Macaca fascicularis: one gene and its partners. The protein of the gene in region 5 interacts with the protein of the main gene of each other region in a biochemical or structural test. Links are inferred from orthologs where the notes say so. Each region holds a gene or a part of one and is shown on either strand. Other genes may lie near its edges. The genes, in order: KCNJ4, CYSLTR2, TANC1, IQSEC2, DLG1, ARHGEF26 and KCNA4.

The links.
Region 1: the proteins of DLG1 (region 5) and KCNJ4 form a complex in vitro, tested with the Homo sapiens proteins (2 studies listed by BioGRID and IntAct, with this or other methods). The link is inferred for Macaca fascicularis from reciprocal best matches to the Homo sapiens genes DLG1 and KCNJ4.
Region 2: the proteins of DLG1 (region 5) and CYSLTR2 interact in a test that uses a peptide from one of them, tested with the Homo sapiens proteins (2 studies listed by IntAct, with this or other methods). The link is inferred for Macaca fascicularis from reciprocal best matches to the Homo sapiens genes DLG1 and CYSLTR2.
Region 3: the proteins of DLG1 (region 5) and TANC1 interact in a test that uses a peptide from one of them, tested with the Homo sapiens proteins (2 studies listed by IntAct, with this or other methods). The link is inferred for Macaca fascicularis from reciprocal best matches to the Homo sapiens genes DLG1 and TANC1.
Region 4: the proteins of DLG1 (region 5) and IQSEC2 interact in a test that uses a peptide from one of them, tested with the Homo sapiens proteins (2 studies listed by IntAct, with this or other methods). The link is inferred for Macaca fascicularis from reciprocal best matches to the Homo sapiens genes DLG1 and IQSEC2.
Region 6: the proteins of DLG1 (region 5) and ARHGEF26 interact in a test that uses a peptide from one of them, tested with the Homo sapiens proteins (2 studies listed by BioGRID and IntAct, with this or other methods). The link is inferred for Macaca fascicularis from reciprocal best matches to the Homo sapiens genes DLG1 and ARHGEF26.
Region 7: the proteins of DLG1 (region 5) and KCNA4 interact in a biophysical measurement, tested with the Homo sapiens proteins (2 studies listed by IntAct, with this or other methods). The link is inferred for Macaca fascicularis from reciprocal best matches to the Homo sapiens genes DLG1 and KCNA4.

Annotation. Positions count from the first base shown.
Region 1 is NC_088384.1:13,196,152-13,200,808, forward strand, and holds the start of KCNJ4 (inward rectifier potassium channel 4), read left to right. Parts: upstream 1-1,550; 5' UTR 1,551-2,464; intron 2,465-4,657. UniProt on the Homo sapiens protein: Inward rectifier potassium channels are characterized by a greater tendency to allow potassium to flow into the cell rather than out of it.
Region 2 is NC_088391.1:27,792,937-27,797,567, reverse strand, and holds the start of CYSLTR2 (cysteinyl leukotriene receptor 2), read right to left. Parts: upstream 3,186-4,631; 5' UTR 3,098-3,185; intron 1-3,097. UniProt on the Homo sapiens protein: Receptor for cysteinyl leukotrienes. The response is mediated via a G-protein that activates a phosphatidylinositol-calcium second messenger system.
Region 3 is NC_088386.1:54,606,563-54,610,468, reverse strand, and holds part of TANC1 (protein TANC1), read right to left. Parts: intron 2,548-3,906; coding exon 2,316-2,547; intron 1,160-2,315; coding exon 993-1,159; intron 1-992. UniProt on the Homo sapiens protein: May be a scaffold component in the postsynaptic density.
Region 4 is NC_088395.1:53,237,284-53,241,189, forward strand, and holds part of IQSEC2 (IQ motif and SEC7 domain-containing protein 2), read right to left. Parts: intron 1,334-3,906; coding exon 438-1,333; intron 1-437. UniProt on the Homo sapiens protein: Is a guanine nucleotide exchange factor for the ARF GTP-binding proteins.
Region 5 is NC_088376.1:2,497,467-2,501,372, forward strand, and holds part of DLG1 (disks large homolog 1), read right to left. Parts: coding exon 3,862-3,906; intron 3,602-3,861; coding exon 3,429-3,601; intron 1-3,428. UniProt on the Homo sapiens protein: Essential multidomain scaffolding protein required for normal development. Recruits channels, receptors and signaling molecules to discrete plasma membrane domains in polarized cells.
Region 6 is NC_088376.1:57,077,609-57,081,960, reverse strand, and holds the start of ARHGEF26 (rho guanine nucleotide exchange factor 26), read right to left. Parts: upstream 2,962-4,352; 5' UTR 2,880-2,961; intron 2,458-2,879; 5' UTR 2,407-2,457; coding exon 1,330-2,406; intron 1-1,329. UniProt on the Homo sapiens protein: Activates RhoG GTPase by promoting the exchange of GDP by GTP. Required for the formation of membrane ruffles during macropinocytosis. Required for the formation of cup-like structures during trans-endothelial migration of leukocytes.
Region 7 is NC_088388.1:35,544,651-35,547,538, forward strand, and holds part of KCNA4 (potassium voltage-gated channel subfamily A member 4), read left to right. Parts: intron 1-580; 5' UTR 581-1,362; coding exon 1,363-2,888. UniProt on the Homo sapiens protein: Voltage-gated potassium channel that mediates transmembrane potassium transport in excitable membranes. Forms tetrameric potassium-selective channels through which potassium ions pass in accordance with their electrochemical gradient.

The DNA of each region.
Region 1 (4,657 bases), on a different chromosome or scaffold from region 5:
GCCACATTTATTGAGCGCCTACCATGATCTGTGCATCCACCTCACTTAATCTACCCCTGGGGAATGGAGGACATTAGGGTCCTCAATTTACAGACAGATTAAATAAAAAGTTGTTCAAGGTCAAGTAGCTCCTAGGTGCTTTTGAGCCTAGGTTAGCCTGACTCCTCATCCCACTAAGCAAGAACCATACTTGTGCCCAGCCCAGGGACTGGTACGTGGTGGGTGCCTAGTGCTGGTTGAATGAATGAGTGGGTGATAAATGACTTCTGCTAGGGTCATCAGGAGGCCTTCTCAAGGAAGTGGCACTGAGGCTGGACTTGGGGAACAGCAGGAATTCTCTGGGCAAAGAAGGTGGAAGGGCATTTTAGGCAGGAGGAACAGTGTGTGCAGGCAGAGGTGTGGAGACCCGTGGCATGTTCTGGCATGTTCTGGAATCTGTGGAATCAGGGTGTACCTGTGGATTTATGGGATGTGGGATGCCAGATAAGGTGGGGCCTGACTACACCACACTGAGGAGTTGGGACTGGATCCTTTTGAGTAGGGAGAGCCCACCAGGAAGGGAAACAGTTGTGGTGATTTGCATGTTGCTCTTCTTATGCTGACATCCTCAAGGCTCAGGAGAGCCAGAGGGGATTTCAGATTTCATCAGTTCTCCACCTGGCTTTGGGGGCCTCAGTCTCTCCCTCTCTGCACTGGGGCTAGTTGGTGATGGCCAGACTCCCAGGGAAGTTCTGCTGGCTGTCTAACTGCAGGTGTTCTCTCGTCCTACCACCCTGGAAGGAGGAGCACTTTCCCTCCTGTCTCCTCGGAGGGCTAGAGTGACGTGGTAGGATGGTCAGGAAGTAGCTGGTTTGACAGGTGCTGCTGGGGGTTCCGTGACACCCCAGACTGTGGGGCCCAGGCCTGACAGCTTGGGGTAATGGAGAACGACAGAGAACAAGAGACTAGGGTTTGGCCTTGTTCTGTCATCTCTGGGTGACGTTGGCCGAGTTTCTGAGCCTCTCTGGTACCCAGTCTCGCCATCTGTAAAATGGGGCAATGGTGACTGAGTGATCGTGAGGGTCCCTCCAACAGGGCCACCTCGGACTCCCGGAGTGGGGTGCTTCGGGTCCTTAACCGGCGGTACTTCGGGAGAGTACGAGGACCGCCAAGGAGAGGGGCCGGACTCCGTGGGACCCCAGATGGACCAGCTACCACCCATCCCCTTCCCGGCTCAGAGGAACTCTCTCCACCTGCCCCCTGGGGGGGGCCCACAAAACCCGGGAGCGGATCCAGGAACGGGTTCTGGGAGGAGCGCTCCTGGGGTGAGGAGGAAAACCCGGGCAGGATCCAGGGCAGGAGCGGGGCCAGCAGCCCCCAGCCCCAGCCCCTGCTCAGCGCCGCTGGCCCCGCAGGAAGGGGCCTGAGGCCGGGTTAGGCCGAGGGGCGGGCAGGGCGGGTCCCCGCGGGCCGCCGGGGCTCCCAGGATGGGGGACGCGCGGCCTCCGCAGTGGGGCGCGGGTCACGTGTGAGGAGGGGCGAAAGTCTCGCAAAGCGGGGCGGCGTGCCGCGAGTTGGGAGTTCTCGGCGCGCCGCGGGCGGCGGGAGCTCGGGCTCCCGGGCGAGCCGGGGACGCGGCCGAGGCGGGGGCCGGGGTCCGAGACAGAGGGGGCCGCACGGAGAGTGGGAGGGGGAGAGACAGAGAAGGACAGAGGCCGCGAGGGAGACGGACAGAGACTCGCAGGGGAGAGAGGCAGCGCGGGCAGAGGGAGGCGGGAGGAGGCCAGGGGGCGACCGCGACGGAGACGGAGACCCCGCGGGCAGAGGGCGAGCGGGGCCGCAGGAGGCAGGGAGGCCGGGAGAGGGACGGGGACGCGAGGGCGGCGGAGACCCCGGCGGCGGGAGAGAGACGCAAGAGCGGTCGGGGAGGTGGCGGCAGAGCCCGGCCGGCGGGGGCGGGGAGGGCGACCCCAGGCCGGGAGGCCGAGGGGTCGCGGGGCCGGGGCCGAGCGCAGCGGGGCCGGGAGCGGAGCGCAGGGCCGGGGCCAGAGCGCGCGACCAGGAGCGGGTAACAGCGAGGGAGCGGCGCGCAGCGGGGGGCGGCGGCGGGGAGGGCGCCTGCGGCGGGGGTGGGGGGCGCGGGCGGTGGGGCGCCCCGGGCCCCCGGACCCCCGCGCTCTGAGCCCGGCCGAGCCCGACGATGCTGACGCCGAGGCGGCGCCTAGGGCGCGGCGCGGGGCAGCGCTGAAAGTTGGGCGGCCCGCGGGGAGCGGCGCGGGACGGCCGGGACGCGCGGAGACCCCAAGACCCACGCGCAGACCGAGCGGCAGCCGGGGAGGGGGGCGCGGGCCGGCCGGCCGAGTTCGGAGGCAGGAGGCACCGGGACTCCCCTCTCCGCGCCCGGGACGCCGCCCGCCGGATCCCGCCGTGGGATGTAGCGCCCGCTCGCCGCCTCCCGGACTCTCGTCGGACCCTCCGCCCAGCGGTAAGCCGCGCTCGCCCACCCCGGGCGCTGTCCGTCAGTCTGTCCGTCAGTCTGTCCCGCCGCGTGCGTGTCTGTGTGTCCCGGGCCCGCCGCTCCGGCCCCTCCCGCTCCGCACCTGATCCGGAGCTGGGTCCCGGCTGCCCGGCGCCGCGCGCGCGGTCCCGTGACTCCCCGGGAGCGGGCGGGCTCTGTCCGTCTGGGAGCGTCGCGGTCTGGGTTGTGTACTGGAAAGGGGGAGAGAGGTGGGTGGAAGGGGTCTTGACCTCCTGCCCCGGCCATGACCTTTCCCTGCCTCCACCCACCCCAGTTGTCATGCCGGGGAGCTTCAAGGCAGGTGACTTGTGGCAAGGTGGGGGATGGCGCCTTTCCGCCTCCCCAGCTGCAGCCTCGTTGCAAATGGCCCTGTGATCTGAAGAACGAAATCCCACTTCTCATGTTTTGAGCGCCTGCTTTGCGCCACACGACCCCAGGGCGCAGGGGCAGGGATCGGTAGAGGAGGCACTGCACATTCATAGTGATAGAAACTGCGGCTGCGGAGGGAGGCAGAGGCTGCTTTTTCCTCCGAGTGTAGGGAGCACCCCAAGGCAAGAGAGGTCTCAATGAGCCTCCCGCAGGGAGAACTTCCCCTGCAACCGACCAAATATACCCCCACCAGTGTCAGCCTCCCTGCCCCCTACCCACACTTCTGCCCCCAGTGTCCCCGCTTCAGGATGGAGAGGATGCAGGGAGTTGAGAGGTGGCAAGCTGGGTGGGGTGGAGCAGAGGGTATTAGAGGCAGGGCAGCCTTGCCAGCTGACAGAGCAGGGCCTCAAGAGCAGTAGAATGTTCAGCAGCAGGTTTGGGGGAAGTGGGGAACTCAGGGAGGGAGGCCCAGAGAAGGGTTGGAGCTGTGTGTGTGTGTGTGTGTGTGTGTGTGTGTGTGTGTGTGTGTGTGTGTGTGTTCGTTCTCCCCCACATCGAGTCCCATGACCTCCATGGCTTCAGGCCTTTTGGGGGCAGTTAGCAGGACTTTAGGGGCCCAAGAGCATTGCTGTCGCTCTGGCTTGGCCTGTGATGAGGGGAGCAAAAGGTGGAACAGGGCAGCTGGGGTAAGAGATGGGTGCAGCATGGTGGGAACAGAGACTGTTGGCCACTGAGCTGACCCATATCCCAGCTGGAGTTGGAAGGGCTGAGCCTAGAACATTCCACTCCATTCTCATTGGGAGGAGGGACTCTTTCTGGGGTTTTCCACACTGGGCAGTGGGTCTTATATGTCTTCCATTCAGGCTCCCAGAAATTGGCTCAGCTGGCTGGGAGAGCAGCCCTCTGGGCTGGTCACTCTCCTCCCAACTGTCAGCTTCCATGTCTGTGGCATGGGGACATCACTCCCTCCCCCAGTGACCTCCAAGGCAGGCCCTGGGCTCAATGAGCAGAGGGCTGTTCACAGACTGGGGAAAGCGCTGGGGAGATGGGAGTAAAGACTTACTTTACCTTAAAAGACAGATGAACAGCTAGTGGGTGGAGGTGGACATGGGGCAGTGGGAATATGGTGGAAATAGAGAGCTGACCAAGGAGGAGTGTCCAGGATTAGAGTGGGAATCTGGGGTACTATTCCTCATGGCCCTTTGGGTCATCCTTGAAAAGAAAGCTCTTCTCTCAGAAAATCCTCTGGAGTGGCTGTGACCAGGCAGAGCTGGTTGAGTTTCTGCTGGGTGACCTTGGGTGGGTGGCTTGACCTCTCTGAACCTCAGTTTCTTCAACTGGAGAACAGGGATGATGATACTGACTTCATCAGGGTGTTGAGCACTTTCCAGACTGTGTCAGGTCTGTGAAAGCCGCGTGCGCCAGCCTGGAGCATAGTAGGTTCGTAGACATTTGCGAAAGAGAGAATGAAGTAGCTCTGGGAGATGCTGTGAGAAGATGTCTTAGCTTAGGATAAGAAGGAAGGGGAGGAGGAACAGTGTAGGCTTACAGGGCGGGCTGCTTCTTAATGTGGATCTGGGGGAGGCGGGGGCGAGTGCTAAGGGGGGTGTGAGGAGGAGGGGGCCCCTCTGCGGGGACCACTGAGTCACGAGGACATGTAAGCGACATGACAACCAGCAACATGGTAACCAGGAAACTAGCGGCGGTGGGAAACAGAGCTGGAGCAGTGTGGGGTGGGGGTGGCGGGTAGGCCTGGTAGCGCTGGGCTCAAGGGGTCCCGGGAGCAGCCAG
Region 2 (4,631 bases), on a different chromosome or scaffold from region 5:
TAACTAAAGTCTGCATTCACTGGTGAATCGATTTATTTACACAATGCCTTATTCTCAATGGAGTTTATGTGCTAGGTTCTATGCAAGGACTCCAATGTCCAAGTCTTAGTCCAATAGAACCTACTGTACATAAGTAACTGCAGTACAAAGGAGGCAGTGGCCAATACCCTGATAAATAAAGAAATACAGTGCTAGGGGTTTCTGACATGGATTTCAAAAAGCTCTCTAGCAAAGCTAAGCATCCACAGCAAAATACTTGCCTTTCTTTGTATTATCCAGTTTGGCTGCCGCATTAGCCAGAGTTCATTGGGTAATTGCACAATCCCTTGTGAGGCTTTTATCTTAAAGCCTTACCCTTGGGGAACTAGAGTGCCTCAGATATCTGGTGCATAGAGCAAACTATAGAAAAGCAGAAAGGATCCTTGATTCTGGAGTACACAGGAAATCTTAATGATGCCCAAAGTAACCATCATGTATTCATGTACACAGCAATGAGTAGTACACTGAAAAAATATATCATCTTTCCTCCAAAACGGAGGCTGCTCATGTGATCCCAGGTGGATGGGAGGCAGAGTGATATAATGAATGAAACCATGTGCTTTTGAGTTAAAAGGGTCCTGGGTTTAAGTTTCAACTCTGCCTTTTAGTCTCTTTTATTACTGCAGCCCTCTGAGCTTCAAACTCTCCTCTGCCAAAGGAGCACTGGAGTGAGTACTGATGAAAAAAAAAATGGATGTGAAGTGATTAACTTGGTGCCCAACACACACAAAGAATTCAGTCAGTACTAGCTGACAATCACAATAAAATTTGTGACAATAACGTACAAAACTCAGAGAATTAAATAGCAGCCTTCTTTACGGCCAAGTAAAAGATGGGGCCATTTCATCCGGAGAAGAGCCAACCAGAAAGACATGAACAATTCTATTTACTTTCCTTTATTTTTATTACACAAGTAGTACATGTTCATGGTAAAGAAAAATTACAATGTAATACAAGCTGAAATAAACTTAAATTATGAACTTTACCACCAACCAGACATATCTAAAATTTCACATATATGCTTTTTTTCATCTTTCTTGAAATATATGAAAATATTTTTAAACAAAAATAAGCGCATTTATAATACTGTTTTATATCTTGCTTTTTTCTTATTTCCATGCCATGATCACCTTTCTTTGCCAAATAACAACATCAATGTCATCATCTAACTGGCTACAGAATAACCAATTATATAAACATTATGAAATATGTTTAACCAATTTCCCACAATAGCTATTATTTAAGTTGTAAGAATGGACCATGTGCCCTGGGCTAAACCAGATTGGACCAGTTCTGGTTCCACCTGGAAAAGATCCTATGTTCTCTCGGTCTCATCTTTACCATCTTTAAAATAAGAATTACTCCAGTTCTTAAGGCTAGTATGTGGATCAAATGAACTGATGCATGTAAACGTGTTTTGTAAAGTACTATGTGAATGTTTACATTCATTAATGAAGGTACTAAACAGGTGTTCTCCACTGAGTCAAAACAAGAAGAAATTTGATTAACATGCTGTTGGTCTCGTTGGGATGATTCCTGGCCTGCAGCAGGCTAGGAGTGCAACAGCAAATGCTTCAATGTGGTTTAGGGGCTCTGGCTCTGTTTTCAGTCCCCAATGGGAGAAACCAGAACGCAGCCCTGGCATAAACTCTGTCCACTTTCCTCCTGAGGACATGAGGTCCAGAGAAGGTAAGTGCCATGTCTATGGGGCTCCTGAAAGCCAGAGTGAGCCACCTTCTGCCTCCAAATCCAATGCCATCGATCTTCACTGTGCCCACAGTGTGTTAGTGACTGGCCAGCTATTAAATGCCCACCTTGTGTTTAATCTTGAAGATTGCAAAAGAAAGGAAGCCTGGCTGCCTTGGCAGATTCTAGCAGATATGGGCGTGATTCAGGTACATTCAGAACATACGACAGCCTCAACTTCTCTAACTTTTAACCATCGAAGCACTGGAAACAAATCCACCTCTTTAAAACATTAGTAAATCGAAACACAAGTAGATTCTCATCTCAAGAGTTTATGTGGCTGAGGTAGATAGAAATTTCTAGAAGTCTTATGTTTCCCCCCAAATTATTCTGTAATTTGCATTATGTATGTAGTGTTGAAAGGGAGATTTGATTGGATTGCCTGAAATTATACCTCCCTTTCTCCTAATACATATTACTCTCAGGTATATGTCAGAGACAGAAAAATATTTTGAATGACGTAGGTCATCTGTTTTTATGCCGACCACCTATTAGAATCACCTGAGAAGTTTCTGGAAAACAAGACAAAATACTGCAGATGACTTGCTGATCTCTAAAAGTTAAGCTTCAATTATTCTAGGGGTAATTTTCTAATCTCCTCAGAGTCAGGTGATTCTGACTTGATGTGCAGCCAGAGTTGAGAAACACTGGTTAGGGTCCCAGTGGGGTAAGGAACAGATTATATGCTCATGATCTCACATACTCTTTCACTCTCATTGTGCCTCTAAGCAAAACCATTGAAACATATGTGCTCAGATTCAACTTCTTCTACCTCTAAAACAAGACCCTGAATGAAAAAAATATATCTTATATAATAAAAGGACCCAAACTATGAAAAATAGGATAACTGCTATACAGCTAAAAATGGAGGAAGTAAAGTTCCTCAATGCAATATTATGCAGCAGCTTTAATTTATGATTACAAAGAATTCACAGCAACATGGAAAAACCATAGACTGAAATGCAGGAAATGAATATAAACGTGTCCATAGTGCAGGGACGCAACTATGAAAACTAAAGTTATATGTGCATATACACATTCACAAACACGCACACACACACACACATACACACACACACACACACGGAAAACCCCCAAAATATCAATAGAGGCTATCTTGGTGGAGAATTTGGCTTCCTTTAACATTTTTGTACTTTCACAGTATTTTTTAAACTACCATGTACATGATAGGAAAATAATATTTATAGTAGAACAAAACAAATTTACTTTTCAAAAATTACTCCTCTATTACGTGATCTTCAAGTCATGATTCTCAACACTGAATTAACAAAACAAAGATTAAAATGCCCACCTGAAGTTCTCTGTCTTTCAGCTGCCCTGGCTTCTGCTGCCTCTATCTCTTCTGCCTTTCTCCTCCAAGTAATTCGGATTGCTCATTTAAAAGAAAAGGGAAACAGCAAATTATATTTATGAACAGTGCCAACCAATAGCAAGAAAGTCAGGAAGTGTAGCAGGTCATCTGTGCTTTTTAGAAGCCAGTATAGATGTCAGTGCAAGATCTCTTCTCAAGAAGGGGGAAGATTTCCAGTTAAGGGCTACATCTAAAAAGAAGAAACCTAAAATTGCCCTGCCCCTCTAATGACTGGTTTTTGTCATTATCTTTCTCAAGAGAACAAGCGGATATAATGGGTTAGAGTCAGGGATTTTAAGTGGCTTTTAGTTCTCCTGAAAGGTTTCTGTTTCCATGGCAACAGAAATAGCAACACTGCCTTACACACACAGCACTTTAGATTTGTTTAAAGCACTTCCCTCACTCACTTATATTTTCAATTCACTTGCACTCCAGCAGAGACCTTATCCACTCTGCTGAAAATGTTCTGTCAGAGGTTACCAATAACCTTGTTGCTCACATAAAAAATCCTTTCTCAGTCCTCACCTTCCTTCCCGTCTTGTTTGCATAGTTGACCACTACCACTTTCCTGAAACTTCTTCCTTGTTTCTCTGACTTTCCTGGTTCTTTTTCTCCCCCTCAGATTGCTCTTCTTTGCCTCTCTTTCTGATGCCTCTTCTTCCATCCCTTTTCTACATGTGAGCTTTCCCCAGAGGTCTGTGTTCTGACTTCTTCCCTCCTTCTCTTGCTTTTATCTATCTGATGCACAATCATGGCCAAATTTAATGTGACCCAGATGGACCTTTTCTCTTCCCCTCTTAGTCCTGCATCCCCCCATCTACCCTGTCTAAACAGTGGCACCACAATAATTTAGCCCATCCATAAACCTAGAAGTCACTTTTAACTTCTCTCTTTCTTCCACCACCCACTTCTGAGCCAACAAGTTCCATTTGTTCTGCCCATAAAATATGTCCCAACTCCAACCATTGCTGACCTCCCCATCACTGTTCAAATCCTCATTTCCTGGATAGAAAGCTGCAGTAACATTAAGCAAGAAAAATACATAAAAGGGATCCAAATTGGAAATAAATAAGTAAAATTATATCTGTCTGCAAATGATAAAATTTTATACGTAGGAAAACCTGAAGATTCCATACACACACACACACACACACACACACACACACACACACACACACAAAACCCCAATAGAACTAATAAGCAAATTCAGCAAAGTTGCAGGATAGGAAATCAATACACAAAAATCAGTTGCATTTATATATACTAACAATAAACAACCAAAAAAGGAAACTAAGGAAACGATTCCATTTAGAATAGCATCAAAACGAATAAAATACTTTGGATATATACTCAGTAGTAGGGTTACTGAATCTTGTTGAGATCTCTGCACTCTCATGTTTACTGTAGCACTATTCACAATAGCCAAAATATGGATCACCCTAAATGTTCATCAACAGAAAGATGGATGAAAAAT
Region 3 (3,906 bases), on a different chromosome or scaffold from region 5:
GTCCAAAACACACTCATCAAGTTCAACTGAGGTATAATTTCAGTTTTTATAATGAAAAAATTCCAAATGCTGTTTTTAAATAAATATCATAAAAGGGCAAAAATCAAAACCTAATGTCTAAAAGTCTTTACTGAAACACGATAGGTATAGAAGGAGTCAATGGTTAAGATACAATTTCAGGATTCAAGAGAGAAGGAAGATGGAGGGGAAAAAATATCACCCTACCGCTTGCTGCAAATGTTACCTCATGTTTAAGTTTTACGAAAAAATAGACTTCTGAGAATAGGCCTTAAAAATCTTTCACCTTCAGCTGGGCACAGTGGCTCGCGCCTGTAATCCCAGCACTTTGGGAGGCTGAGGCGGGTGGATCACCTGATGTCAGGAGTTGGAGACCAGCCTGGCCAACATGGTGAAAATCCATCTCTACTAAAAATACAAAAATTAGCCAGGCGTGGTGGTGGCTGCCTGTAATCCCAGCTACTCGGGAGGCTGAGGCAGGAGAATCACTTGAACCCGGGAGGCAGATGCTGCAGTGAGCCAAGATCATGCCACTGTACTCCATCCTAGGCGACAGAGCAAGACTCTATCTCCAAAAAAAAAAAAAAATCTTTCACCTTCATTTTTCCCTTCAAAAAAACACAAAGCCCCACAGCAAACCCATGCAAATAACTACCAGCAGGAGTAGGTTTAAACTCTGGCAGGCCTCTTGGCCCCACACACTCCATGACGGTAACCAGGGCTAGATGCCACCATTTGAAAATGTGCAATTCGATGCCAACAGGAAACTTACCTGACATCTTGATAAATATGCCTTGAGCTAAAAAGGTCAGAGTTTCACCCATGTGGGGCTCTCTGGACTAATTTTTCAAATTCTTAACATAGTTTCTAATTCAAGCAGCTGAATGGTTTACAACAGTTTTATGTTATTAATATTTATCACTGTAAAATTGGAATATAGGGACTTGGAGAAAGATTTGAGAATTCTTTGTTACCTGAAAATTTGCTCTTACAGTCACAATCAACTTCAACCAGGCAGGAAATTTAGAAATAATTTTGGTAATAAATGAAGAAAGCGTATCTCCATAATCAGGTTTATGAAACTCAGCTTCATTTAAGCCATCTATCAAAATAATGTATTCTTCTTCAGGAATTTTCTGCTCTACAGGATAAAATAATTTTTTCAAATTAAGAAATTATACATTTCTCTAAGACAGCAACACCCAGTGTATTTTAGTGCCCAGTTTAATGTTAGAAACTAAAAAGGTTTACATATGGCACAAGAAACAGTTTTCACAGAAGCATATTTTCTATTAAATTTATAGTGAAAACTGGAGCACAGAGCCAAAAGAAAACCAATTCTCACAAAACAAACATATTGCATGACATACGTTAGCAGAATCTCACTCATGTATATAATACAGTTAGCTCTTCATAAACCATTGTCACTGGGGTGAGCTACACAAAGATAATGAACACATAACAGACTTCCAATCCAGAAAGGTCACTAGGTCCCCCATGAGAGCTCCTTAGTGGATTCCAGGGAAGGGAAACTGACATCCTCGCTGCCCCCAACCCAGGGCAAAGTGCCCGGCCCAAGCCACACAACCACACAGTGTGAGAGCTCCACACTACTGACTCCTCCAACAGGGCTCTTCTCCGCGAGCCAGAATCTGGTTTCCTATTTATTAGTGCTGATTTTCTGCCCAGGAAATAGAGAAGAAATGATGACATATCTGTTTTCTATCCCTCTAGCACCTTCCAGCAGAGGGGCCATGTGGGCAGATAAACAAGCTCAAAAGGTGAGGAGGTGAGGGGAGAGAAGATGGGAAACTGAAGGGACCATCAGGTCACTGATACCTTGTTGGGGACAAAAAATTAAAATGGAAACCTTTAGAAGTCACTTTAAGGTTTCAATTCAACTGAGCAGAGGCCCTGACAAATATATATTCTGGAAAATTCCTCCAAATAATCCACTTATTCCCTCAGATACTTAGGAGTGCAAAATACACAACAGTCTTCCGTGGTGCAAGTCATCTAAATAGCCCACAGTTACAAACTACTTTGGAACCGCTCAGTCATCACATTCATTCTTATCAGGGTGCTCCTTTTAACACTATACCACAGGGGTGGTGTAGGAGGGACCTCATGGGGCTGGTTCTGAGAAAGAGGAGCGGATGGGCACTGACGCTTCCACATTCTCTCCCTGCTCCAGCTCACTTCTACCCCAGGGCCCCGCTGACCACCTGCCTTCTGGGGACCACCTGTGTATGCTGTACCACTACTGAGAGGGGCTGTAGGTAGCTGCTATGAGGTACCATTTCTCAGGTTTGTGAGTGGCTCCAGCACTCCCCTCTTGAAAGCTGCCACCGGGTCCTGCACACAGGATCGGAGACTCAGCATGCTCTGTAGTTGGGGCTCCTTTATCAGAAGGTCTCTGTAGGCGGCCAGCTGATGGGACCGGCAGAGCAAAGCTGCGATGCTGTGCACAAACTCGGGCACCAGGCAAGTGTATGTGTTGTCAGCCTGGCAGTAGTGGTAGGCCACCACCTAGGGGGAAGCAGAACTGTCAGCGTCACCTCACCCTCTTCACACAGCTCCTTCTGCGATCTCAAACAGGAACACAACTCTGCTCGTCCGCTGATAACAAGATACATAACATCTATTGCCCAAGACTGGGTCATTTGTTAGCATAATTGTTCCATTTATTCCTTCCTTCCCTTGTGTGGTTTGCGAACCTTTAACTGCATCCACAAAATCCATCTTGATTAGCATAAAAATCAGCACGTTACTTTGTATTGAATATAAGCAAACAGCATTCATAAAATGTAAAATTTACCCTGGCTTAGAGCAGCTCCAAGCCATCCTAATATTCTCAACATCAAAAAGTGCCATCTTCACTAGGCTTCTGTTCTCAAGAGCAGCAGCACCTCTTTAGGAAACCCTTTTGCTGATCCCAAAAGGCAGATGATAAAGCCAGAGGCTGTGAGACCGGGGCTGCAGAGTCGCAGCAGCTCCTTCTCCTGGTCCAGAGGGTCAAGACGTTGGCCCCTCCCCACACCCGCACTGCATCAAGGGACACTGTGGAGAAGTTCAATAGGGACGCTGTCTGAAGAATGAAACCCGAAATCACCAATTCTCTGCCCATCATGTGGAGAGACAAGTTGGAGGAGAGAGGGAGCTGCCTGGGTACTGAGAGGAAAAGGAATCGTTCTGTTCCAAGGGACCTGCAGCATCAGCAGGCTGCTTGTGAGAGGGACGCCAGGAAACGGCCAGACACAGAAGTGTTGGGAATGGGAGGCATGCAGTAGATAGAAGAAAAATCCAATACTTTTCCAAAGAAGGATGATAGGAGAAACACAAGTACAAGGTAAGGAAGGCAAAGAAGAGCAAAACACTTGTGCCAAGAGATACATGTTTTTTGGAAGTATCTGCCTTGCTGCTGTCCCACTGGACGCGGCAAGACCCTGCAGGAAGTAGGACAAGAACCACTAGCCACAGTTCATCACTGAGGGCACCAGACACTGAGGTTAGATGCCTTGCCAACCTGACACAGATAGTCAAGGATGTGGGATTAGATCCCAGGTCTGCAGACTCTTTAAAAGACAAGTGGCAAAAGTAAATGTGCAACAGCTTTCCTCTGGCCAACCTGGAGCTGCCATGAGACTTTTGGTTTAGATTAAATTTATCGTCAACACTCAGAGGAAAGCTGGCTGCTCTCCAACTCTCACCTGGACAGAAATTAGCAGGGATACACGTGAGCATCCTGTAAGCTTGTGCAAACCATCATGAGATGTCCAGTACCACAGTCTTGCACGGCGTTTCACAAAAGCAGCTTTGCTTTTTTTTCCATGACCCAACAGTGGGTCATGAAATCTATTTATTTAGTTATTTACTTTTATTTTTTAT
Region 4 (3,906 bases), on a different chromosome or scaffold from region 5:
GCTAGTGGTAGGTGGAAAAATAGAAGCCCAGGGGAGGAATGCACCTTGCCCAGGGCTATGCAGCGAGTCTGGCCAAAGGCCCACTCGGGGGCCAGATCTCCTGTTTCCCAGGCTAGGGCTCTTTCTACACCATATCACCTCCCCTCTAAAAAGGGAAGGTGGGGAGGACAAGTTTCAGAATCCATTTAGTGGGGTCATCTCACCCAAGATCGCACAGTCAGCCAGAGGCAGTACTAGGACTGCCCAGGTGTGTTAAGGGACTCTCTACTCTTTCACCCTGTTGCCAATCCTCTTCCCTGAATGTCTGGGGAGAAATACCGTTCCACAAAATGAAAGGATGGCAGAACCGGGATCACTGCGTGGAGTTCTGTCCCAGGAACCCAAGTACCCGTGGCAGGGTAGGAAAGGGCGAGCAGGCTAGAACGGGCAGCACGCACTTGTTGAAAAGGTTGAGGCCGATTCGGTAGTGCCGCCTCTGGACCACATCATTGTTGAAAGCTGGCGAGTCCCAGCTGTGCCTTGTCTCCCGCTGGTAAGTCTGCTTGCACAGGCCGGTGGCCGGAGGCTCCCTTAGACTGTCCCGAGAAGAGGAGCCGGAGCTGCAGTTGATGGTCTCATTGGAATTGCTGGAGCTCTCGAGGCTCTCATTATCTCCACCATCAGAGTTCTCGCCTGCTGCCTCGCACTTCCCCAACCTCCGACCCCCAGCCACACCACTGGGCCCAGTGCCACTGTTGGGGGCTGGTGGCAGGGGCCCTGGTGGGGCTGGGGCTGGGCCCTCAGGGGCTGGGTAGTGGCGGTGTGGGATCGGGGCCCTGCCTGGTGGCCCCTTGTGCTTCAGGGTCCCATGGGGGCTGCAGCCATCAGCCTCATACACCAGCTGGCGGTGGACAGAGCCGCGATCTGAGCGGTCACTCAGGTCCACGGAGCTGTCACTAGGAGGCTCAATGGTAAGCAGGGGAAGGTGGGCGGCCCGCAGCCGGAAATCCCGGCACTCCAAGCACCCGGGACCCCTGCGAGTGCCTTCCTCACGGCTACCGTCTTCCCGGGTTCCTGATGGCACTGGTGGAGGAACTGGCGGGAGAGGGGCTGGCGCCCAGAACTCGGGCCGGCCCTGGGGTGGGGGTTCTGTGCTGGGCAGTCGCTCAGGGGATTGTTGGGGAACTGTGTCATCCAGGTAGAGGGGAAGGTCACTGAAGGATGTGGCCGAGCTGTCCTCTTGCTGTTCCTTTGACTCCCGCTTCTCCAGCTGGGCTGAACCTGGCTCCTCAGACATGGGCCCTGACGGGTGGCAGTTCAGGGCTTCGTCGATGGATTCAGCCAGAGACTTTACCTGTGCAGGCGGGGGAGGAGAGGAGGGAAAGGGAGAGAAAAGAAAGAAAGATAAAGGGAAGAATGGTGGAAGGTGGGAATGAGGGAGGGGGGTAAGGGAAAAGGGGGAGTCTTCCTGGTAGGTCAGCAAGGAGGGTGGATTCCCCTCCCCCAGCCCTGACAAACTCCCTGTGGTCTATAAAATGACTCCCAGGGAACCATTGTGAGCTCACAGGAGCTGGGACTAATGCCCACGAGTTCCCCCACTCAGCTCATACCCCAATACCTCCTTTGTGTCCATTTAGACTCAAGCCAAATGTTACCTCCTCCCTGATTCAAGCCACATTCTTGCCTCTGCCATCCCCGAGGGTAAACCAAAATCCCAGCTTCCTCTGTGGGAATTCTCTTAGGAAATCCATAACATTTGACCTTGAGCGTCTGGACCACAGCTGGTAATGCTCTTTCCCTGTGGTATCCAGACTCTAAACTGACCGCTCATGATCCCTGCCTCCTGGTATTCACACCCTAGGGTACCACATTGTACCAGAGTTAGTCTGTGTGACAAACAGCATATGGCAGAAGTGAATGTATGTCACTTCTGAAATTAGGTTTTAAAAGACTGCAGAGGCTGGGCATGGTGGCTCATGCCTGTAATCCCAGCACTTTGGGAGGCCAAGATGGGAGGATCCCTTGAGCCCAGGAGTTCAAGAAAAGCCTGGGCAACATGGCGAGACTCTACCTCTACAAAAAATAAAAACATTAGCTGGGTGTGGTGGTACACACCTGTAGTCCCAGTTACTCAGGAGAGTGAGGCAGGAGGATCACTTGAGCCCAGGAGTTTGAGACTGCAGTGAGTTACGATCACGCCACTGCACTCCAGCCTGGCAACACAGCAAGATCCTGTCTCTAAAATTTTTATTTGTTTTTTTGAGACAGAGTCTCGCTCTTGCCCAGGGTGGAGTGCAGTGGCACGATCTCAGCTCACTGCAACCTCCAACTCCCAGGTTCAAGCGATTTTCCTCCCTCAGCCTCCCCAGTAGCAGGGATTACAGGCGCGCACCACCATGTTTGGCTAATTTTTATATTTTTAGTAGAGACGGGGTTTCGCCATGATGGACAGGCTGGTCTCAAACCCCTGACCTCAGGCGATCCGCCTGCCTTGGCCTCCCGAAGTGCTGAGATTACAGGTGTGAGCTACTATGCCCGGCCAAAAAAAAATTTTTTTAATTTAAAAAAAAAAGACTGCAAAAAAATTTTTTTTAATTTACAAAATTAAAAAAAAAATTTAAATGACTGCAGCTTCCATCTTGAGCACTCTTGGTCGCTTGTCACTTGGACTCTTTCTCTCAGACCCCCCAACCTGGGGAAAGCCCATCACGAACAGTCCTATAGAGAGGCCCACAGGGTGAGGCATTGAATCCTCCTGCCAACAGCCAAGTGAGTGAGCTTGAAAGCAGACTGCCAGCCCCAGTCTAGTCTTCAGATATTGCAGGCTCTCCCTACAGCTTGACTGCAACCTCATGAAAGGCCCTGAACCAAAACCACTCAGCCATGCCATTCCCAGCTTCCTGGCCCCCAGAAACTGTATGAGATAATAAATGTTTATGGTTTAGGCTCAGTCTCTTGGGTCAGTTTTAAGCTACCAAATTTGGGGGTAATTTGTTACACAGCTAACAGATAACGGATATACTTCCCCATCAGACTTCAATAGCACTCAGAGCTGGGATCAGACCTGGTTCCCAGACTGATCTCCTATTCCCCATTCCTCCCTTGAGGGATGGATCCAGGCCTGGTTTCTCTTTCTAGCTCAGCTCAACACATTGCTTGACACAGAAGAGATGTTCAATTAAATCTTTGTGGTATGAATGAACAGATAAATGATATAGATCTTCCCTTCAATATTCCTGTCCTTCCCTCCACCTCTTCACCAGGTCCAAGGAGGCATGCCCAGGCTGATGGCAAGGCCAGATCATAGAGGTTAGAGCAGAGTGACTTTTTCGCTTATAAAGCTTCATCCATTCATTCAACAATCTCTACCAAGTACCTTCTTGGTTTTAGGAAGAAAACTAACATGTACTTAGCAGCTACTATGTACTAGGCGTTTTCATATATATTACCTGTACAGTTGCACTGAGTCTTCCAAATAGCTCTAAAAGGGTTTTCTCTCCATTTTATTTTCTCTCCATTTTATTGATCATGTTTCAGTGTGGTTAAACAGTTTGCAGTTTGCCAAGGCCACACAGTTGGGAAATGGCAGAACTGGGATTCACACCTGGGCAAGTATGTTGACACACCCCAACCCTAGAACGATCTCCCACTACCTTTACTGCGTTACAATCCCACCCCTCCAAGCTTTTGCTGATGCAACGCCTATGTAAGCAACACCCTTCCAAGTATTTCTAACTTGCTAAATCTTTTCTGTCTGGCAAGGCCCATCTCCAATGCTGTTTTCTCAAGTGGGTTTTCTGTGGTTCTCCCAGAAGAAAGTTTCCTCCCCTTCCTCTGGGTTCCCAAGGTACCATACATTGTACTATATAGCCTTTCTCATGGCTCAGAGCACACTCTACTTCAGGAGACAGTAATGCACACATGTCT
Region 5 (3,906 bases):
CTATCATTTCATAAAAGATAAAAAATCCTAGAGTAAGGGCAAACCTTTTAAATAAACAAATGTGTGAAACCTCATTACCACTACTCAATCCTTCTATTTCTCATTTTACTAGGGACAGACAAAAACTCATAAACTAGCATATGGGACCCAATTCTGGATTTAAATGACAACTTTTCTGACAGGCTTAAACTCACTGACAAAGGATACTTAGGTTTTTAATACAGATGGGCATTTCCATGGTAAGCAGAGTAGTAGTTATTATTTATGACAGATTTGCTTCTAATGCATTTGAAATCAGGCCCTCCCCCATAACGCAACTTCAGTTTTTTGTTTGTTTTTGAGACGAAGTCTTGTTCTGTCACCCAGACTTGAGTGCAGTGGCACGATCTCGGCTTATTCCAACTTCCGCTTCTTGGGTTCGAGTAATTCTCCTGCTTCAGCCTCCCCAGTAGCTGGAATAACAGGTGTGCGCCACCACACCCAGCTAATTTTTGTGTTTTTTGTACAGATGGGGTTTCACCATGTTGGTCAGGCTGGTCTCAAATTTGCGACCTCAAGTGATCCACCCACCTCGGCCTCCCAAAGTGCTCGGATTATAGGTGTGAGCCACCACACTTGGCCCCATAATGCAACTTCTAACCCAAGGACTTGAGTCCAAGTCAATACATGATAATTTCAATTTGGTGGGCACACTTAAAATAACAAATTTAATACTGTAAAATACTCCAAACATATAGAAAAGTAAATAACAGACACTATGTATCCATTATCTTTTATCAGATATAAATATTTTACATTATCGCTTAAACATTTTAGTAACTTGATACTGAAATATTAATATTCTATGTTTGCTTTAGCTCTTTCTATGTATGTACATAATAGTTTGAGAAAAAACTGCATAATGCTCCTTTACCTCATATTTCTTAAAAACAATGGCATCTCTTATATAATCACAATATGATTCCAAGTGGCCATCTAATGTTCCTTATTGGAAAAGAAAAAAAAAATTTCCTGGTCCAGGATCCAATTCAGGATCATAGGATCACACACTGTGGTTAGCTGTAAAGCCTCCTTAGTCTCCATCAATCTGACACAATTCCTCAGTCTTGGTCTTTCTTGATCTTGATGTTTTTGAAGAGTATAAAATATTATGTCATAGAATATGCCTCAACCTGGGTTTGTGTGTTTCCTCACTCTCGGATGGCAGGTTACACATTTTTGGCAGGAATACCACAGATATAATGTGTGTCCTTCTCAGTCCATCATATCTGGGAGGTGATATTATATCTATTTGTCCCACTGGTAGTGATGCTAATTTTGATCACTTGTTTAAGGTTTTATCTGCTAGGTTTCTCCACTGTAAAATTATTACTTTTGCCTTTGTAACTGATAAGTATTTTGGGGGAGGACACTTTGAGACTATATAGATATCCCATTTTTCATCAAATGTTCACTAATTTTAGAATACACTGATGGTTTTTGCCTGAAACAATTATTACCATGCAGTTTTCAATATTTTCTAATCATTTCTTCTACCTTGATTAGTAGACAGTCCAAAGTGTTCCCTTCTATCCACTTATTTACTCATATACAGATGCTCCTTGACTTATGATGGGAGTTACGTCCCAATAAACCCAAGTTGAAAATACTATAAATTGAAAATGCGTTTAATATACCTACCCTACTAAACATCATAGCTTAGCCTAGATTACCTTAAATGTGCTCAGAACACTTACTCTACAGTCAGACAAAATCATCCAACATACCTGTTTTATAATTAAGTGTTGCATTTTTCATGTAATTCATTGAGTCCTGTACTACAAGTGAAAAACAGAAAGGCCGTATGGGTACTTGAAGTATGGCTGCTACTGAATATGCATCACTTTTGCGCCTCTGTAAAGCTGAACCATTCTAAGTTGGGGGCCATCTGTGTTTATTTCATTATGGAGTCTAGGATTTTAATTTTACTCTATATATTATAATCTGTGATTATCATTTATCTTGATATTCAAATTATCTCAGACTTGGCCAGTGGGGGACCCCACAGCTTGGTTCCTTGCCTTTTTACACACCCTCATCACTCGTGGACTGCTCCCTTGTTTTTCTGGCAGCAAAAATGTTACAGGCTCATCTTGCACTTTTCCAGTCCTGGCCCCAGAATCAGCCATTTCTCTAAGGAGTCCTGAATCTTTCAATTAACGAATTATATTTAGAAGCCAAGACCTGGGCACCAGATATTCTCATGGCTTATTCAGGGTTATTTTTAGGTCTTCTTAGTGGATAGAGCAAATAAGCATACGTGTGTGTATATGTAAATACACATCTTTCTAGATCTACTCTATTACAATTCATGGGTTCATATTCATAGCTCTAATTATCTAATATCTCCAATCCAATTATCAGAGTTCATTTTATCCTCTCCCTTTTTCTGACAGTCAAACCTCACTCCCACTACTGTCATTACATTAGTTTATTTGCTCAACCCTAGAATATATATTAGTTTCAGAACTGTAAGACCATACACTCCACCCAACAAACCTACTGATTAGAATTTTATTTTGTTTACAGATCTTTCTGTCTTCAGCTTGTGTTAAAGAATCTCTGGGATTAAGACTTCTCCCTTCTCCCCTCTTCAATGTAGTTATTCATTTGAAATGGTTGGATATCATATCCTATGTACAAAGGCCATTTTTATATCTTATTTTTGTGTGAACTATGTATTCTCATCTTTTGTCCATTTTTTTTTTCCCTATTGGGTTTCTGGTCTCTATTCCCTGTTTTTATGAGTTCTTTATATATTGGGAATATTAGCCCTTTTCTTCTTGCAAATTTTTTCTGTCAGTTGTCTTTTGACATTGTTAATGGTGTTTTCTAATAGTTTTTGGAAAAGTTCTTTGGCCATAAAAAAAGTTTTTAAAAATTTTAAGTGGTTAGATTTATTGATTTTTTCTTTTCTTTTCTTTTTTTTTTTTTAAGAGCCAGGGTCTTGTTCTGTTGCCCAGGCTGGAGTTCAGTGGCATGATCATAGCTCGCTGCAGCCTCAAATTCCCAGGCTTAAGTGATCCTCTCAACTCAGCCTTCTTAGTAGCTAGGACTATAAGGGTGTGCTGCCATACCTGGCCCTTATCTCCTTATAATATATGCTGGAGGGTTAGGGTTAAACAAAGGTCTATCTCTAGCAAATGACCTTAAAATAACTTCTCCTCTTACATTCATGTTACCATTCCTATTTTCACTTTCTTTGTCTACCTTATTTACCTGTTTTATCTTGTATGCACTTTCCTGAGCCACCAAAAATTAATCATGTAGGTAAGCAAATTCATTACGTTAATAAAACTAATTAATGCTGTATCTATCCTACCACTCTTTCATACTGTCAAAGGCATATCTGATTAGCAGCTATATTCTGGGACTAGTCTGATGCTTACCTTTTCTGCTACTTCTCGCACAGATTGAACACTTGTTCCATATAGATGATTGTTATACTGGCCAGCTTCAATGAATTTATGTTCCTGGATATCTTTTTCCATCTGCTCTCTTGAAGTCACAAAATGATAATCTCTTCCGTCTACCTCATAATCTCGTTTTGGTCTAGTTGTATCTTTAACAGAAAAAAACTTGGGGAAGTGTTTAATATTAAAAAAAAAAAACCCACAATAAATCCATTTTCTACTTATATCATTGTTTTGTAAAGTTCAACAGATTAATTTAAATCTGAGAAAGGACAACAATATGGAGGATGGAAGAGTAACTGATAAAATAGGTACAAACCGTTAAAAAATGGTTCTACCTATTTTTCCCACACACAGTGACAGGCATTGTTAAGAGTAACAATGAAATGTTTTTGTCTGGTTTACTCACGAGGGACACAGGATCCAAATTTGTCGGGAAATTCTGAGATCAAGT
Region 6 (4,352 bases), about 55 Mb from region 5:
TTAAGTACTTTTTTTTTTTTTTTTGTCATTACATTAATTAGATTTCCAAGAGCACAGAGAAGCTGAGCCCCGGAGGAGTTCACCCATTTGATAACTACAATTCACTGAAACAATGAAATAAAATGTACAAGATCTCCCATACCCTGTCAAAACAGACTGAGAATCCTCAAATAACTAGCAGGTCAGCTCATTTTACTACTCGTGATTCACCATCACTGTTAAATTGAACTTTGCTATACTTGCAGAGTTGGAAAAAACACATAAAATGTTATGTAATTTCTTTAAGACCATGGGCTCCAAAATAAAACAGGCTTGCTTGTGTTTTGCATATGTGACATTTATATAGACTGGTTCCAGTGCTCTGATTAACCAAGAAAAAATGCGGCTGCCAAAAAGAATCTCCGCCCTATTGCTGAGATCTGTCTTGTTTCTGCGGAAGGCAGCATACACTCCAAAATATCCCTCTTCAGTTTTCCCTGTTTCTTTATGTCATATTTGGCAATATTTTAATAAGTGCAGCTAATGGGACAATACAGGGGAGCAATACCACAACAGTGTCACCCTAACCTGAAGTTTTCAGCTGCCAATTTGTTAAATGCACTCAAGGATGAATGGGCATACAACGGGAATAAAACACAACCATAGGCCATGGTGACAAAAACAAGCAACAAAAAAGATGACAAAAGATTTGTGTCTTTTGTGATCCTGGCAGTTGATTTTCAAATTCACATTCTACCTGAATGACATCAAGTGTGTAGTAACCACTCAAAAAACAATTCAGTAAGTAAAAGCAAAAAAATAATCAACAGGCTCAAACAGGAATCAGCATTTTTCTGAATCAGCTGTGATAACAGCTACCATTGACGGAAACCTCTGAGCAAACTCCACACAACCAGGAATCAGCATTTTTCTGAATCAGCTGTGATAACAGCTACCATTGACGGAAACCTCTGAGCAAACTCCACACAACTTGACTGCAGAGTGCGGGTCTGAGCATGCTCCTCCCCCTTTCAGCTATCTCTTTTAAAAGTGGTCAAGACTCATTCAGCCAATAATCTGCCATATTTCACTCTTGTCCCCCCAATTCTGCCTGAGCTTAGAAATTTAAAGGTGATGAATTTCACTTCTTCCAACAAAGCTGCACTAAACTCGGCTGTGCCGGCCAGCATCAAAGTGGCCAAGAGCTGGATGTACACTAGTAATCAACAGCAAAACACAGAATTAAAAGGGAATGACTTCTTCGGGTTTTCTCTATGCTCCTCCTCCCCACCCCCAACACATTTACTTTTGGCTTAGTGAATGGCGTGTCACACTCCTGCCCACTTTTACCTTTATCCTTCCCAGACTGGAAAACTTCTCCTTGTCTTCCATCACTGCTTTCAGAACAGGCTGGGACATTCTGTTCTTCTTCTTCGAACTGGTAGGACTGTCAAAATCAAAGCCACTGACCACTGCCCTGCGATAAGACGTGGACCGCAAGCCTCTCCGCAGAGACCCTGGGCTATCCACGTCGTTATCGAACTCACTCTCCTCCCCTGCGTGACCCAGAGGTCCTCCTAGGCCCTCCACCATGCTGCGCACCTTGAGGAGTCTCTTGTGGGGCTCCACATTCTGATTGTTGGATTTACTTATTTTAATTTCCGAGGCCAGACTCTTCGGAATGATCTGCTGCTTCCCCACTTTGAGGGCGGCGGGGCTGTTTGTACTCAAAACCACGGAAGGATTCTCGAGGAGCTCGTTCTCCTGGGAGGGGAGCCTTTGGAGGGGAAGTTTTTGTTCTGAAGAACTTTTCTGGGGCGCAGAAGAGAGCCCCCGTTCGGGCTCCTTAGCCTTCTGGCTGGACTGTGAACCCGACCCAGGAGAATCGTTATTAGCGGCAAGGCCATTTGCAGTGGGCGAAGGCACCGGGCTGGCATTCAACCCAGTCGGGTCCTCTTCGGGGGTGCAGGGGGCGGGCGCGTTAGGAGTCCGCGGAGAGCGCAGAACCGGCGGCGGCGGCGCAGGCAAGGTCACCGGGCCATTTGCTGGGGATTTCGGGGAGCCTCCCGGCACCGCTTTGGGGAGCTTGGGTGACTTGGGCCGTCGAAGTCGAGGAGAGGCAGCCCTGTACTCCGGGGATGCCGTCCCACCATTGGCCACCGCTCTCCGCTGGGCTCCCAGAAGCAGGGGGCTCCTATGTACCGTCCCGCTGTCCGAGTCGGTGGGCACCTGGGCGACAGTCTGCGCTGCAGGGAGCGTCCCTCGGTCCTCCACCGGAAAATCTGTAATTAGCAACCCGTTGGGGCTCTGGTAGGACTGGGGCCTCGGCTTGCTCCGGCCCAGCAGCTGGGGCTGAGGAATCGACCGCCTCCGCCACAAAGGGGTTATGCTGTTGCTAGAAAAATCCACTTCGCTCTCGCCGTCCATAGCCGGGCCTCGAAGTCAGCCCCGGTAGGAGCAACACCGGGTCAGTCTTGCCTAAAGAGGAAAGAAGTTAGGAAACTGTGCCTGCGGATAGGCGGGGACGCCTGGCCGACTCGCGTGCTCCGAGTCCGGCGGTCCCCCTGCTGCTGCGCAGGACACGACTGCACCGCACTTACCCGCCCTTTCTCGGGCAAAAACTGCACCACTGCGGTGCGCGGTCCCAGGCAGAAATCTGGGGTGCCGCCCAAATGGATTAATCCAATCAACTCCGCGTCCCTCCCACGCCAAAAGACCACCCGCACCAAACGAGCCCGCCACCAATTCACTGAGTGCAAGCCGAGGCACAAGAAACTTGGGACGAGTTCAGCTTTCTTGGGAAACTCGCCGCGGGACGCTCCCTTCTGTTGCCATCCAGCCGCCCGCCCTCATCATGGGTACCCTCGTGCTCCAGATGCGCGGCTCCCAGGCAAATTTACCTTCTGGGACTTGCAATGTCCGGGGCCAAGGAGCACCCACTGCCCCGTGGGTGGCCCGGGTCCGGGACCGAAGCGCCGCCGCGAGAGCTTAAGAGAACGCTGCCGCCGACCGCGGCACCGGCCCCGCCCCCACGCTTGACTACGCCCACACACTTGGCCCCGCCCCCGTTTCGGCCCCGCCCAGATCCGCCTCCGTTGCAGCCAGAAGCAAGAAGCCGTCTTCCCGCCCCCGCGCGCCTGCAATCAGCCCCAGTCTGCCTGGGAAACAGAGGAGCGCACCTGAGGTGGGTTCTGAGCTCCAGCGTTTGGGCTGGAAGTTGCGGACTAGTAGCTGCGGCGGCACTGGAGTGTAGGCGCGCGGGGTTGTTGCCAGGGGCATAGCGTGAGAACAAGCAAGGGAGTCCTGCTGAATTGCAGCTTAGGAAGCCCTGAATCCCGGAGGTGTGTTGAAACAGAACGCGCGGCGGAGTAGACTTTGTGAGACGCGTGGGTAGTAGCGCAGCATTCTAACGCAGAGTCATGCCCACTCAGCATTCAGGTGGTCTTAATCAGATGGGCTTGTTTCACTGCTGAGCATGCATTATATTATAAACAGATAGATGTGCTTGTTTGTGCCTAGAGTCTTTCTGTAGGAAAGACTGGCAGCTCTGAAGTGGGAAACTGGGTGACTAGGAAACCGGAGGGAGGGAGAGTTTTCATATAATTATTTTTGGTCCTTGTATGCTTTGAATCTTGAAATCTATCTATGAAAAATAAGCTCAATTTACACTACAAAAATAGTATTGGTTTCTAACAGTACATAGACTACAACTCAAAATCCTTACCATGGCTTACAAGAAGACACTGCACTACTGCCGTAACTCTTCAGCCTAGTCTTTCCATCATCACTTTCTCCTTCATTATTTTTTTGGCCACACTCAAAGTTTGCTAGCCTCAGAACCTTCCCTTTCGTTCCTTCTTGACCTGACTTGACACTGCATGAGAAAGGCAGTGTCCACTCCTTAATTATACCATTGCCCCGTTTATTTTCCCAGTCACTTGTTCTCTTCTATTTCTGCACTTGTCAAATTTTGTATATTATATATATGTATTTATGTGTTTATGTTTATTGTCTGTTTTGTCTTTACAAGGTAATTTCAATGAGGGCAGGGGTCATGTTTTTGTTTTTTTTTTTCTCCGTATTTCAGGCACATGGTAGGCACTTAATATTTATTTAATGAATGAGTGAATGAATGACAGGAATGAAGTGAAAACAGTGACCATTTCTTCCAAAGTGCTTGGTTGCCAAATAGTAGAAAGATGGCTGTGTCTTGGCCAGTCTCCTGCTGTGTGACAATAATCAGGCAAACTTGAGAAGACAAATAATTTTAGACCATAAGAGCTGTGTAATTGATTCTATTAGCAAGACATATGGGCCCTTCTCCAAGTTCTCTTTCAGCATTCATGCATTCAGCAGGGATGCAGTGAGCATCC
Region 7 (2,888 bases), on a different chromosome or scaffold from region 5:
TATTATTTGTACTTTATAGATGAGGTGACTGAAGTGCATTCAAGTGGTGCTGCCTGCATAAAGAATAAGAATACTGTTGTTGTTGTTTTTTTCTTTTTTCCGACTTCCCCAATCCTGAGTCAAGATAGAGAGGAGTGGAAGGGCACTTAATTCAGAAACACTTTATGAGTGGAAATTTTAAAAATTGCCTTGAAATAGATGAATGATGGAAGCAGCTGTAAAGTCACAGCATTATTTTTGTGAAATGAAGAGAGTGACAGTGAGAATTAAGACCTGGCATTGGTGAAGGGGAAGATAGAAGCAAGAGCCATGTGAGCCATGAGTGGAGAGAGGAAAAATAATTGAGTTACCATAAAAATAAACTGAGCTGAAATAATATCTGAAGAAGAAGGAAAGAATGATGTTTAGTGAGTGAGAATAGTGTGCCCCATACTCTTGAAAATGTATGGGTGTTTGGTGTGTTATGTGACTTTCTTGAAGAAAGAGAAGGATGTGTATATGAAGAGAAATGCTCACTTTGCTCTTTATGATTTGTTTCCTTTTTACTTTTCTCCTATGCTTGTTTCCAATCCTTTTTCAGGTGAAGTGCTTCTTCTGCATGATTTTGGCTGAAGAATGCTCTGCATTTCCTTGATTTCTATGGAGACCTCAGAGCTGGTTTTGCTTCTGCTGACACCTCATCTAGCACCTTCTCTACCTCCCAGGGTCTTTGCCTCTATCTATGGTTTGGCATCGTACCTGGGTCCAGGAAGCCTTTGATGAACTTAAAAGGAGAGCCTGCAGAATCGTCCTGATAGACTTTGAGTAGAAATGGCTGGACATACTTCAAACCACATCTTATTATGGTTCGAGCCATCACTAGAAGGCAAGTGCTAACAGTAAAGGCTTATTTGCATTTTATTTAAATTTAATGGACTGAGCATTGGCCAATTTCCATGGCAGAAAAATGTATTTCATTTTCTAGGCACAACTTCTGGCTGTCAGACACTTGCTGCCTTTGAATCTTGCAGCATCATCACTAACCACATCCCAGACATATTTCCAAATCTCAACATCTACCCCCAAAACATAGGTGTCTGAGACACTCCAGCATTTTCGGACTTCTTAGTCTTGAGAGTGCTAGGCTATTTATCTCGACCAGCCAAGCTCTGGAGAGCAATGTTGAATCCCTGAGAAGAGGGAGCATGGGGCGTGCTGATTTAAAAACAGAAAATGCAAAGTTGGACTGAAAATATCCTTAGTCTTCCAAGCAATCTGCTTAAGGGTTCCAAACTTACCTTAATTTGGTGAGAAAAGAAGCTGCCCTATTTTTCTTTCTTCTTCTTCTACAACTGGAACCAGCCATTTCCGAAAACCACCACCATGGAGGTTGCAATGGTGAGTGCGGAGAGCTCAGGGTGCAACAGTCACATGCCTTATGGTTATGCTGCCCAGGCCAGGGCCCGGGAGCGGGAGAGGCTTGCTCACTCCAGGGCAGCTGCAGCAGCTGCTGTTGCAGCGGCCACAGCTGCTGTTGAAGGTAGCGGGGGTTCTGGTGGCTCCCACCACCACCACCAGTCACGTGGGGCCTGCACCTCCCATGACCCTCAGAGCAGCCGGGGTAGCCGGAGGAGGAGGCGACAGCGGCTTGAGAAGAAGAAAGTCCACCAACGGCAGAGCAGCTTCTCTCATTGCTCTGACCTGATGCCCAGTGGTTCTGAGGAGAAGATCCTGAGGGAGCTGAGTGAGGAGGAGGAAGACGAGGAGGAGGAGGAGGAGGAAGAAGAGGAGGGAAGGTTTTACTATAGTGAAGATGACCATGGGGATGAGTGTTCCTACACGGACCTGCTGCCTCAGGATGAGGGCGGTGGTGGCTACAGTTCAGTCCGCTACAGTGACTGTTGTGAACGGGTGGTGATAAATGTGTCAGGCCTACGCTTTGAGACCCAGATGAAAACTCTGGCCCAGTTTCCAGAGACTTTGTTGGGAGACCCTGAAAAGAGGACTCAGTACTTTGACCCTTTGCGCAATGAGTATTTTTTTGATAGGAACCGCCCCAGCTTTGATGCCATCTTATATTATTACCAATCAGGAGGCCGCCTGAAGAGGCCAGTCAATGTCCCCTTTGATATCTTCACTGAGGAGGTGAAGTTCTATCAGTTGGGGGAGGAGGCCCTGTTGAAGTTTCGGGAGGACGAGGGCTTTGTGAGAGAGGAGGAGGACAGGGCCCTCCCTGAGAATGAATTTAAAAAGCAGATTTGGCTCCTCTTTGAATATCCAGAGAGCTCCAGTCCTGCAAGGGGCATAGCCATTGTGTCTGTCCTGGTCATCTTAATCTCCATTGTCATCTTTTGCCTGGAAACCTTGCCTGAGTTTAGGGACGACCGGGATCTCGTCATGGCACTGAGTGCTGGTGGGCACGGTGGGTTGTTGAATGACACTTCAGCACCCCACCCAGAGAACTCAGGGCACACAATATTCAATGACCCCTTCTTCATCGTGGAAACAGTCTGTATTGTATGGTTTTCCTTTGAGTTTGTGGTTCGCTGCTTTGCTTGTCCCAGCCAAGCACTCTTCTTCAAAAACATCATGAACATCATTGACATTGTCTCCATTTTGCCTTACTTCATCACACTGGGCACTGACCTGGCCCAGCAACAGGGGGGTGGCAATGGTCAGCAGCAGCAGGCCATGTCCTTTGCCATCCTCAGAATCATTCGTCTGGTCCGAGTATTCCGGATCTTCAAACTCTCCAGGCACTCCAAAGGCCTGCAGATCCTGGGCCACACCCTCAGAGCCAGCATGCGGGAACTGGGCCTTCTGATCTTCTTCCTCTTCATTGGGGTCATCCTCTTTTCCAGCGCTGTGTATTTTGCAGAGGCGGATGAACCTACTACCCATTTCCAAAG